2 linked regions of the Callithrix jacchus genome follow. The protein of the gene in region 2 purifies or fractionates together with the protein of the main gene of each other region. This does not show direct contact. Links are inferred from orthologs where the notes say so. Each region holds a gene or a part of one and is shown on either strand. Other genes may lie near its edges. The genes, in order: KCNAB2 and KCNA5.

The links.
Region 1: the proteins of KCNA5 (region 2) and KCNAB2 purify together in Homo sapiens (co-immunoprecipitation; 3 studies listed by BioGRID and IntAct, counting the BioPlex papers as one, with this or other methods). This does not show direct contact. The link is inferred for Callithrix jacchus from reciprocal best matches to the Homo sapiens genes KCNA5 and KCNAB2.

The regions. Positions count from the first base shown.
Region 1 is NC_133508.1:43,886,020-43,890,271, reverse strand, and holds the start of KCNAB2 (voltage-gated potassium channel subunit beta-2), read right to left. Parts: upstream 3,085-4,252; 5' UTR 2,991-3,084; intron 2,526-2,990; exon of another isoform or gene 2,458-2,525; intron 2,408-2,457; exon of another isoform or gene 2,286-2,407; coding exon of another isoform or gene 2,169-2,285; exon of another isoform or gene 2,034-2,168; intron 1-2,033.
Region 2 is NC_133510.1:18,649,748-18,654,036, reverse strand, and holds KCNA5 (potassium voltage-gated channel subfamily A member 5), read right to left. Parts: upstream 3,079-4,289; 5' UTR 2,963-3,078; coding exon 1,154-2,962; 3' UTR 351-1,153; downstream 1-350. UniProt on the Homo sapiens protein: Voltage-gated potassium channel that mediates transmembrane potassium transport in excitable membranes. Forms tetrameric potassium-selective channels through which potassium ions pass in accordance with their electrochemical gradient.

The sequences.
Region 1 (4,252 bases), on a different chromosome or scaffold from region 2:
ATTAAGGTTTCCTCGCTACCTGGAAGGCCGGGATCAGTTTCAGTGCTGCCCTGTGCCTCAGTTTCCCTATCAGCCTCCCTCGCAGGGTTATTTAAAAGTGCCTGAGGTGAACTGAGGTCATGAGTGCAGTTCCAGTGTGGGGAGGGTCCCTCCTCTCCCTCATCCAACCAGGGACCTGGTGCCCTCACTCTTCTCTACCTATGGGGCCGTCTCTTTGAAGGCCATGAACAACAGCACCTTTGCATGCCAGGCAAGAGTGAGTCACTGAGAAATCTCCACGGTAGTGGCACCTCCCGTTCCCAACAGCCCCTCCAGCAACTGGGACACACCTGAGGGCACTGGCTGTTACCATGAACGTCAGCAATGCCTCCAAGTGGCCTTCCCAAGAGAGAGCCGGTCATGTCCTGGTGTGCTAGCTTCCCCCAGCTCGGATAGCCAAGATATGAACTGGGTTCAAATAAGTAGGAAATAGGGGGTCCAACCCAGCTCTGTCACTGCCGCTGTGTGACCCTGGAGAAGCCTCTGTCCTCTGGGTTTCCATTTAGTCCTTTGGCAGCAAGGATGACCGGCTGTTGGGTGGCCACGACCCAAGTCCTCCTGGTGCTGAGAAGGGGACTGGTGGGAGGCATGGGTCTATGGCCTTAGACACCTCTGGCATCAAACCTTCTCGAATACCGCTCCCAGTGGCCCACTGTCCTGCCTCCTTATTCAGGGACCCCAGAAAAACATTCTCTCTGGGAACTCTAACAACGTGACAATCACAGAGAATTTAGCCAAGAACCAAACACATGCCACTCCTGGCCAGAGTCCCTGGAAATGGAAGCATGTTACCATGGCAGAGCACCAACACACAGGAAGGTCTGGGGGAGGTCCCTCCCTCCAAGCCCAGGCCGGAAACTGCCAAATCAAAACCGTGTGGCGCTCACTTCCTCCTGAATCATTTGGGTCTTAGAAGATTGCTGAAAAAGGAAAGAAAGTGAGCAAGCCTTCTCTAGCTGGCCATCCCGTGGCACCCTCGGTCTTTCCAGTTCCCTAGCATGGTGGCCCATGTCCCATCTCCTGGGTGTGATGGCTTCTGTGCACCCTGCTTCCCATCCAGCTCTGTATCCAGACTAAGATGGTTGTGAACCAAGAAACACATGACAAGGGTTTCACACTTTTTACGACACCACCAGCCCCAGTGCCCGGCTCAGTCCCCAGGTGCCGATTAGCACTGACAAAGCATGTGCTGACTGGCGCAGGGAAAAAAAATGGCCCTGGGTATGGACAGGGAAGCCTCTACCATGCTGCTTTCCAGGCAGAGATGTGCTGCATGCAGCCCAACACCGTCAGTGCCATCGAGGCCGAGTGTGGCTTTGGAGAGCTGTCTCCAGAAAGAATGGCAGGACCTGGGGGACCAAGTGCATTCTTACGGCCCCACACTGTCAAATCACAGGGCCAGGAGCTGCACAGGGTTCTGGGGGAGACAGAGCCACCAGGCAAGAATCAGGTGGGCAGATGCGACTCTTCACACATAGGTCCCCAAACCCTGCAACGCGGGGCCTGAATGCGGCTTCCTTAGCAAAGCAGGAGCTTACTCTTGGCACTGGGGGGAAGGGGAGGGAGGAGGCTGGCGTTTTTGAGGGGGAGAAGTTGCAGAGAAAGAAGAAATCCTGAAGCGACAGACAGTGGGACAGCTGTGGCCTGAACTTGGTGTTCCTGCTCCTCGGATGTGGATGTATTAATTTCCATAAATGCTAATAGTCCATTTCCCCAATAGCTATTACTTATGCCATCTCCGCTTGGACACAGTTCAACACAGGGCAGACAAATGAAAGGGAGGAAAAGGCCATCCCCATTGGCTGTCCCCAGCTCCTCAGCCCCCTCCCAACCAGGCAGCTCAGGTCCGGTTCCTAAGGTAGCCCTCTAACTGCAGGGTCAAGACCCCCTGCCTTCAGTTTCGTGGCCAGGTCCCTATCACTACAGGAAGCAAGAAAGTTACCAACCCCAAAAATGCTGAATCACAAAGTGAGGCTGAGCAGGAAAGTGGGGGCGGGGAGGGAGGGAGATGGTGGCCAGGGAGGAAGGGTGTTAAGGGGCTTCCCACCTGGAGCACCCTGGGATGCTGCAGGCAAAGCACAGCCCCTGCAGGAGGCCCCAGGACAAATGGCAGGAGGAGCAACGCCAGGATGCGCCTGGATGGGGGGGTGGGAAAGTGGGCAGGTACCCCGACTGCTGCCACTGCTAGTGCCGCAGGACGTGGTGCAGCAGCGGGGTCTTTGCATCCCTCCTGGGAGCAGCAGCAGGTAGGGAAGTGCTTTGTGCCAAGGCCTGGCAGGAGGGAGAAGCTTAAGATAGTAGGGGCTCAAGGGTGTAGACAGCTCGAGGAACGGGTGCAGGAAGCAGGGTCACAGTCCTGGGGAGCCAGGTAAGGTGATGAGAGCGTGCCCGCGGGGAGAGGTCGGAGGGGCTGGGAGCAGAATGGGAGGGAGGGACGATGGAGAAAAGGACCGGAGCGATACAGGGACAGGCTGCGAGAACGATGGGTGAGCCTTGAGGAGCAACCGGGGGTAGAGATGGGGAGGACCGGGACCAGCAGCGCCCCGGTGGGGCTGCGCGAAGGCCGGGAGAGGGGATGGGAGGAGGAAGGAGGGAAGGGGAGGGCGAGGCTGCGGGGACCGGAGCGGGCCGAGACGGGGAAGAGGTGCACCGGGGTGAAGGAGAGGGACGGCGGCAGGGGCAGGGGTCTGGGATGCGAGCTGAAGGGTCGGGCGGGAGGACCGCGAAGGAAAGGGAGGAAGGAATGGGGGAAGGGAGACGACGGAGAAGGAGGTGAGGAGGCTGAGGAGGAGGTGAGATGGAGGCGGAGGCAGGGACGCAGGGCCGGGGAAGAGGAGATGGAGACGGCACCGCGGCGCCTGCCGCAGCGCGAGCCTCGTGGGTGCCCGCTGCCGCCGTCCCGGCGCAGGTCGGGGGAAAGCGCGCCCCGCCGGGGTCTCCCCCGTACTCACCTGGGGGCTCCAGCTCCGGATCCTGAGCCCCACGCCGGATCTTCCTTCCCGCCCTGCCCCTGCGACTTTAGCGCCCCCGAATCCCGCTCGCTCCGGCAGGTTCCGCCAGCAGCATCTTCACCTCGTGGGACGCCCGGGGCCACGCCTCTTCCAGCTTCGAATTGGCTGCTGTTCACGCCAGTCACATTACCATTGGTTGCAGGGTCGCCGGACATGCAAATCAGGACGGGCCCGCCGCCGCACCGATTGGCTGGCGCTCGCGAAGTCTAGCCCTAGACTTGGGCTCTGATTGGCTCCGCGGCCCTGACGGCAAAAGTGACGCGAGGCGGGTTTTCGGCCTGAAGTGCGCGGCGCGCGCAGCCTTCCAAGGCTCCTCCCGCGGGTGGCAGCGGACGGGGCGCGCCCCTCGGCCAGTTTTCGGTCCTTAAGGCCTCCGGCTGCGTTGAGCACCGGCTGCCGGGCCTTTGGGTCTGTCGACTGGGGACTCTCTCAAAAGCGTGGGTTCCGCGGCCTCCGGCGTGGCCGCGGCGGGCCGGTCTCTTAGGTAACGCGGCCCGCGGCGGGCGGAACCATGTGGGCCAACGCCACGGGGGAGGTTGGACGCGGCCTCGAGGCGCACCGGGCTGCAGTGTCTGCCGGAGCCTCGGGGTTCTGGGGTAGGATGGTCCGTGCCGTTCTGTGTGGGGGCCGGGTGCCTGGAGTCTGGCGGCGGCGCTCGGCGAGGCCTGTCCCCGCGTCAGTCGCAGGCTTCCCCCCTCGTCGGGACACTTGGTGCGGCCCGGGCCGCCGGTTGCAGTTGGGCTACGTGGATTCCCCCTCTGCCCCTGCCCTTTGCCCCCTGCCCCCTGCCTCCTGCCCCCTCTGCAGCCCTTCGGCTGAAGGAACTGTGGTGCCGCTGACCTGGTTCTTGGGTCTGCGTACATCCTTCCCCGGCCGGAGCCCGCGGACCCCACCTTCGCCTCCGTTTCCCTCCTGCTGTACCCGGCTGTTGCTCTGCGGCCCTCGGGCGTGCCCGCGAGGCTCTCTTCTGTCCGGGGCCACCTCGGCCTTCCGCGCCCCCTTCCTGCCCTGGGATCTCCCGGCCGACCGGACCCGGAACACGACACCCGCTCCCGCGTGCCCTTCCCCACACGTGCAGGCCCCCCTGCTGCCCGAGATTCCTCATGTCTGTCTTCTTAGGTGACCGCTGCTTTTTGTCTCCATATGTCGCCATGTGTGGCTTTGGTGGACGTCTGCGAAGGAAATCCAGCCTCTCACGTGTG
Region 2 (4,289 bases):
AAGGAGAGAAAGCCATTGCCGGGAGATCCGGCAAGACTGTCAGGGTTCTGATCCCCCTTTTCCCTTTAGTGCCCTCCACACTCCAGGCTGACCACAAGAGCTAATACTACTGCTTCAGAGAGCATGCCACAGGGGCGTCCATGCCATAAACAGCCTGGAAAGCAGTTCACCCACCATTGTCTATGAGGCACCAAGGGGTGCATTGGAAAGATGTCGCCGAGCGAATCATGAGCTTCCCAAGTTTCCTCTGACCCCAGTCAATGCGTTTGCTCTGATTTCAAAACCAGAAACAGCCAGTGACAGACTGTTTTTAAATTTCAGAACTGTATCAGCTGCAGAAAAACTAACACTTGCCTCAACAAAGTAACCTTTTATTTCCTGGGATACAAATAAAGAGAATAAATTATCAGAAGTATTCCTCCAATATCATTAAAATGCTTTTTGAAGAAAGTTACAAGAGTTGTTTAAGGCGCACAGAAAAAGTCAGATTTGCCTTTCCTCCAGAACATTCTCTGCCCTAGACACAAAGCACCAATACCACATCCCAGAAAAATCAGAGGCTTGGACACACAAGAACCAGAACAGCTCATACCAAGATCTCTGGCTCAAATATAAGTATCACAGAGAAACATCAGGTCAACTCTCTCTTCCGTAAATACAACATGTATCTTGAAAGCATATCCAAAATATCTCTATCTGAACTACAGTACAAAAAGCCACTTACCAGCCATAAAAATAATATTTTCCCCTATACTCAAATATAATCATATGTAAAGCAAACTTGGAACACATGGATGGAGGGGTTACATAATCTCTTGGGATCTGGGCTATTTAGAGTCATTTTTGTTTGGGTTATCCCTCTGCTGGGTATAGGCTACAAATACATCCATCTCACAGCACTCGCCATTTCAACAGCTCCTGCGTCATGGAACGTGGTACTTTTTAAAAATAGGCGACCCTTGGGTGTCATGGAAAGAAGAGGGAAAATGGGGGGATGGAGGGAGGGAGGAAGGGAGGAAGGAGAGAAGTGAAAGGAGAGGGTAGACTGAGGTTACAGTGTGGCTTCCAATACTCTGCGGTGTAATGTAGATACCCATGTTCAGCAAGCCTCCCATTCCCTACCCCACTGCCACCAGTCTGCCTGAATCTCCATTTACAAATCTGTTTCCCGGCTGGCATCCAGGCAGAGGGCATACAGGGACCTCCGCAAGTCCACGTTGCTCTTGGCCTTGACGTTACACTTCTCCAGGGGACAGCTGCCCCTTTGGGCGTTGTCTGCATTCTCCAGGGTCACCCCAGCCTTGCAGAAGGATCCCCTGCTCCCGCTGACCTTCCGCTGGACTCCTCTGTCCAGCCCCGGCCCCTGGCTCTGAATGCCCTGCTCTTCCTTAAGGACTGCCGGCTCCTCGTGGTCCGTCTCCCGGTGGTAGAAGTAGTTGAAGTTAGAGACGATGACGGGCACAGGTAGGGCGATGGTGAGGACCCCGGCGATGGCACACAGCGAGCCCACGATCTTGCCCCCCACAGTGATGGGCCTCATGTCCCCGTAGCCCACAGTGGTCATGGTGACCACTGCCCACCAGAAGGCATCAGGGATGCTGGAGAAGTGGGTCCCCTGGTTGTCAGCCTCCGCGAAGTAGACGGCACTGGAGAATAGGATGACCCCGATGAAGAGGAAGAAGATGAGCAGCCCCAGCTCCCTCATGGAGGCCTGCAAGGTCTTGCCCAAGATCTGCAGCCCCTTGGAGTGGCGGGAGAGCTTGAAGATGCGGAACACCCGGACCAGGCGGATGACTCTGAGGATGGCCAGGGACATGGCCTGCTGCCCATTCTGGCCGCCTCCTCCGCCCCCCGGCTGCTGCTCTGCCAGCTCGGTGCCCAGGGTGATGAAGTAGGGGAAGATGGCCACCACGTCGATGATGTTCATGATGTTCCGGGAGAACCCTGCCTTACTAGGGCAAGCGAAGAAGCGCACGAGCAGCTCGAAGGTGAACCAGATGACGCACGTGGTCTCCACGATGAAGAACGGGTCGGCCAGGGTCCTGGGCAGGAGTGGTGCCACTGTGGGGCCAGAGGGCTGACCCACAACCCCACTGCCGTTGGCCCCAGAGGCGGGCGCGGGAGGCTGGTGGGGCGCCGGTGGGTGGCGGAGCAGCTCGCGTTCATCCCTGAACTCGGGCAGGGTCTCCAAGCAGAAGGTGATGATGGAGATGAGGATGACCAAGACCGAGACGATGGCGATGGCCCGCGCGGACCCAGAGCTCTCCGGATACTCGAAGATAAGCCACACCTGGCGCTGGAACTCGTTGCGAGGCAGGGGCTTCTCCTCTTCTTTAATGAAGCCCTCATCCTCGCGGAAGCGCTCCATGGCCTCGTCCCCCAGCTGGTAGAAGCGGATCTCGTCCGCGAACACGTCCAGTGAGACGTTGACCGGCCTCCGCAGGCGGCCCCCCGACTGGTAGTAGTACAGGATGCCATCGAAGCTGGGCCGGTTGCGGTCGAAGAAGTACTCGTTCCTCAGGGGGTCGAAGTAGCGCAGGCGCTTGGCGGGGTCCCCCAGGAGGGTGTTGGGGAACTGCGCCAGGGTGCCCAGCTGCGTCTCGAAGCGCAGCCCGGAGATGTTGATGTGGACGCGCTGGTGGTGCAGAGCCGCAGCGCCCGGAGTCTGTTCCTCCTCCGCGCCCAGGCCGGGGTCGCCTTCTTCCTCTTCGTCCTCCGGAGGCGGCCGCCGAGGCTGTGGCGGCTCCTCGGGCAGCCGAGGCAACGGCCGCGCTCCCGGATCAGCGCCTCTCTGCGCGCCGCGTCCCCTTGGCGCCGGCTCCTTGGGCCCATCGCTGAGCCCAGCCGTCGGGGGACACTGGAGCTCTCCCCCTGTGGCCTGGCCGAAGCCTGCCCGGGCCTCATCGCCTCCTCTGACCGTCATGGCCCCGCCGTTCTCCAGGGGCACCAGGGCGATCTCCATGGCGCGGGGGCAGGGGGCATGCTGCGCCCCAGCTGACCGGCTCCCGCGCCCCCTACTCACGCTCCGCTGGCGCCTCGCTTCGGGCTCCGCTCTCGCGGTTGGCCGGCCCCCTCTCTGGGGCGAGCTGGGGTTGCTGGCGCGATCCCCTCGCTTGGTCCTGACGTCAAGAAGCCGCTGCCCTGCTCTCTGCCTCTCTCTCTCTTCTGGCAGCCGGTTACCAAGCAGCCGAAAAGCCTCCTTCCAGCAGATGCAACCTTCAGCCGCCCCTCTTTGGCTGCGCCGCGCTTGGCCTCCACCCTGGGCGCCTCCCCCGCCTCCTCCCCCGCCTCCCCCTCCTCCCGCTTCCCCTCCCCCCCGCCTCCCCCCCCCCCCCCCGCCCGCTTCCCCAGCCTGGTCTCGTGGCACCGAGTGTCTCCCGGGAGGGCGCAGCTGGGGCCCCTAGCAAGGGAAAGGAGGGGCCGAGAAGGGTGCAGCCCCGCGGAGGGAGGGAAGGAGTGGGGAGGATGGAGGAACAGGTTGTACCGAGAGCGCCGAAATTCCCAGGGCAACCAGATGAGAATAGCTCTGGATTTCAGTTTCACCTGGGAACCCGCTGGAAGCCGAGTGGACTCCAGAAGGAACGAAGTGCCTTGGGTTAAAAGGACAGGCTTTGAGCTGAGTCGGAGTACGAGAGACAGAGACGGGAGACAACAGTCCTTTTTACTCTGGAGAGATAACGGTGTTTCTTTGGGAAGAATTGCAGACGGGAGGGGGCGTGGAGTAGTTACGGACCTTGAAATACATATTATCAATGGAGAAGCACCTCTCTTCCCGTCTTCCTACAGATCCACAAAAAGGTATGACGGGGTTGGAACCTTGCAGCGTCCCCATACCCTGCCCTGTTTCTAGTATGGACCCAGTGGCAGCCCAGGCAGGCAGCCTAGTCAAGAGATGAGCTGTCTGGTCTCAAACCAGCAGAACCCTTCCACCCCCTGCAACGAATTCCATTTGCAAAAGCCACAACAGGGCAGGAGGGGAGAGATTTTTACAATTCTGGTGAGGGCCGATCCTGTCTGGTGAACCTTGGAGCTAGCAACTGCATCAAGGTCCATGAAGGGGGCTGAGGGTGGAGGTGGTGTATGAGAGGGAGCCAGGGAGATACTGCAATCTCCAAGGCTGGAGAATTCCCAAGAGTGGAATAATAACAACCAGTACTTACTTGGCTCTTATTATGCACCAGCCCGTTCTCAGCACTTTAAAATAATGTCTCTGGGTATTCCTACAGCAACCTATTTTGTAAATACTATCATCATCACCATTTTATAAACGAAGAAACTGAGGCACAAAG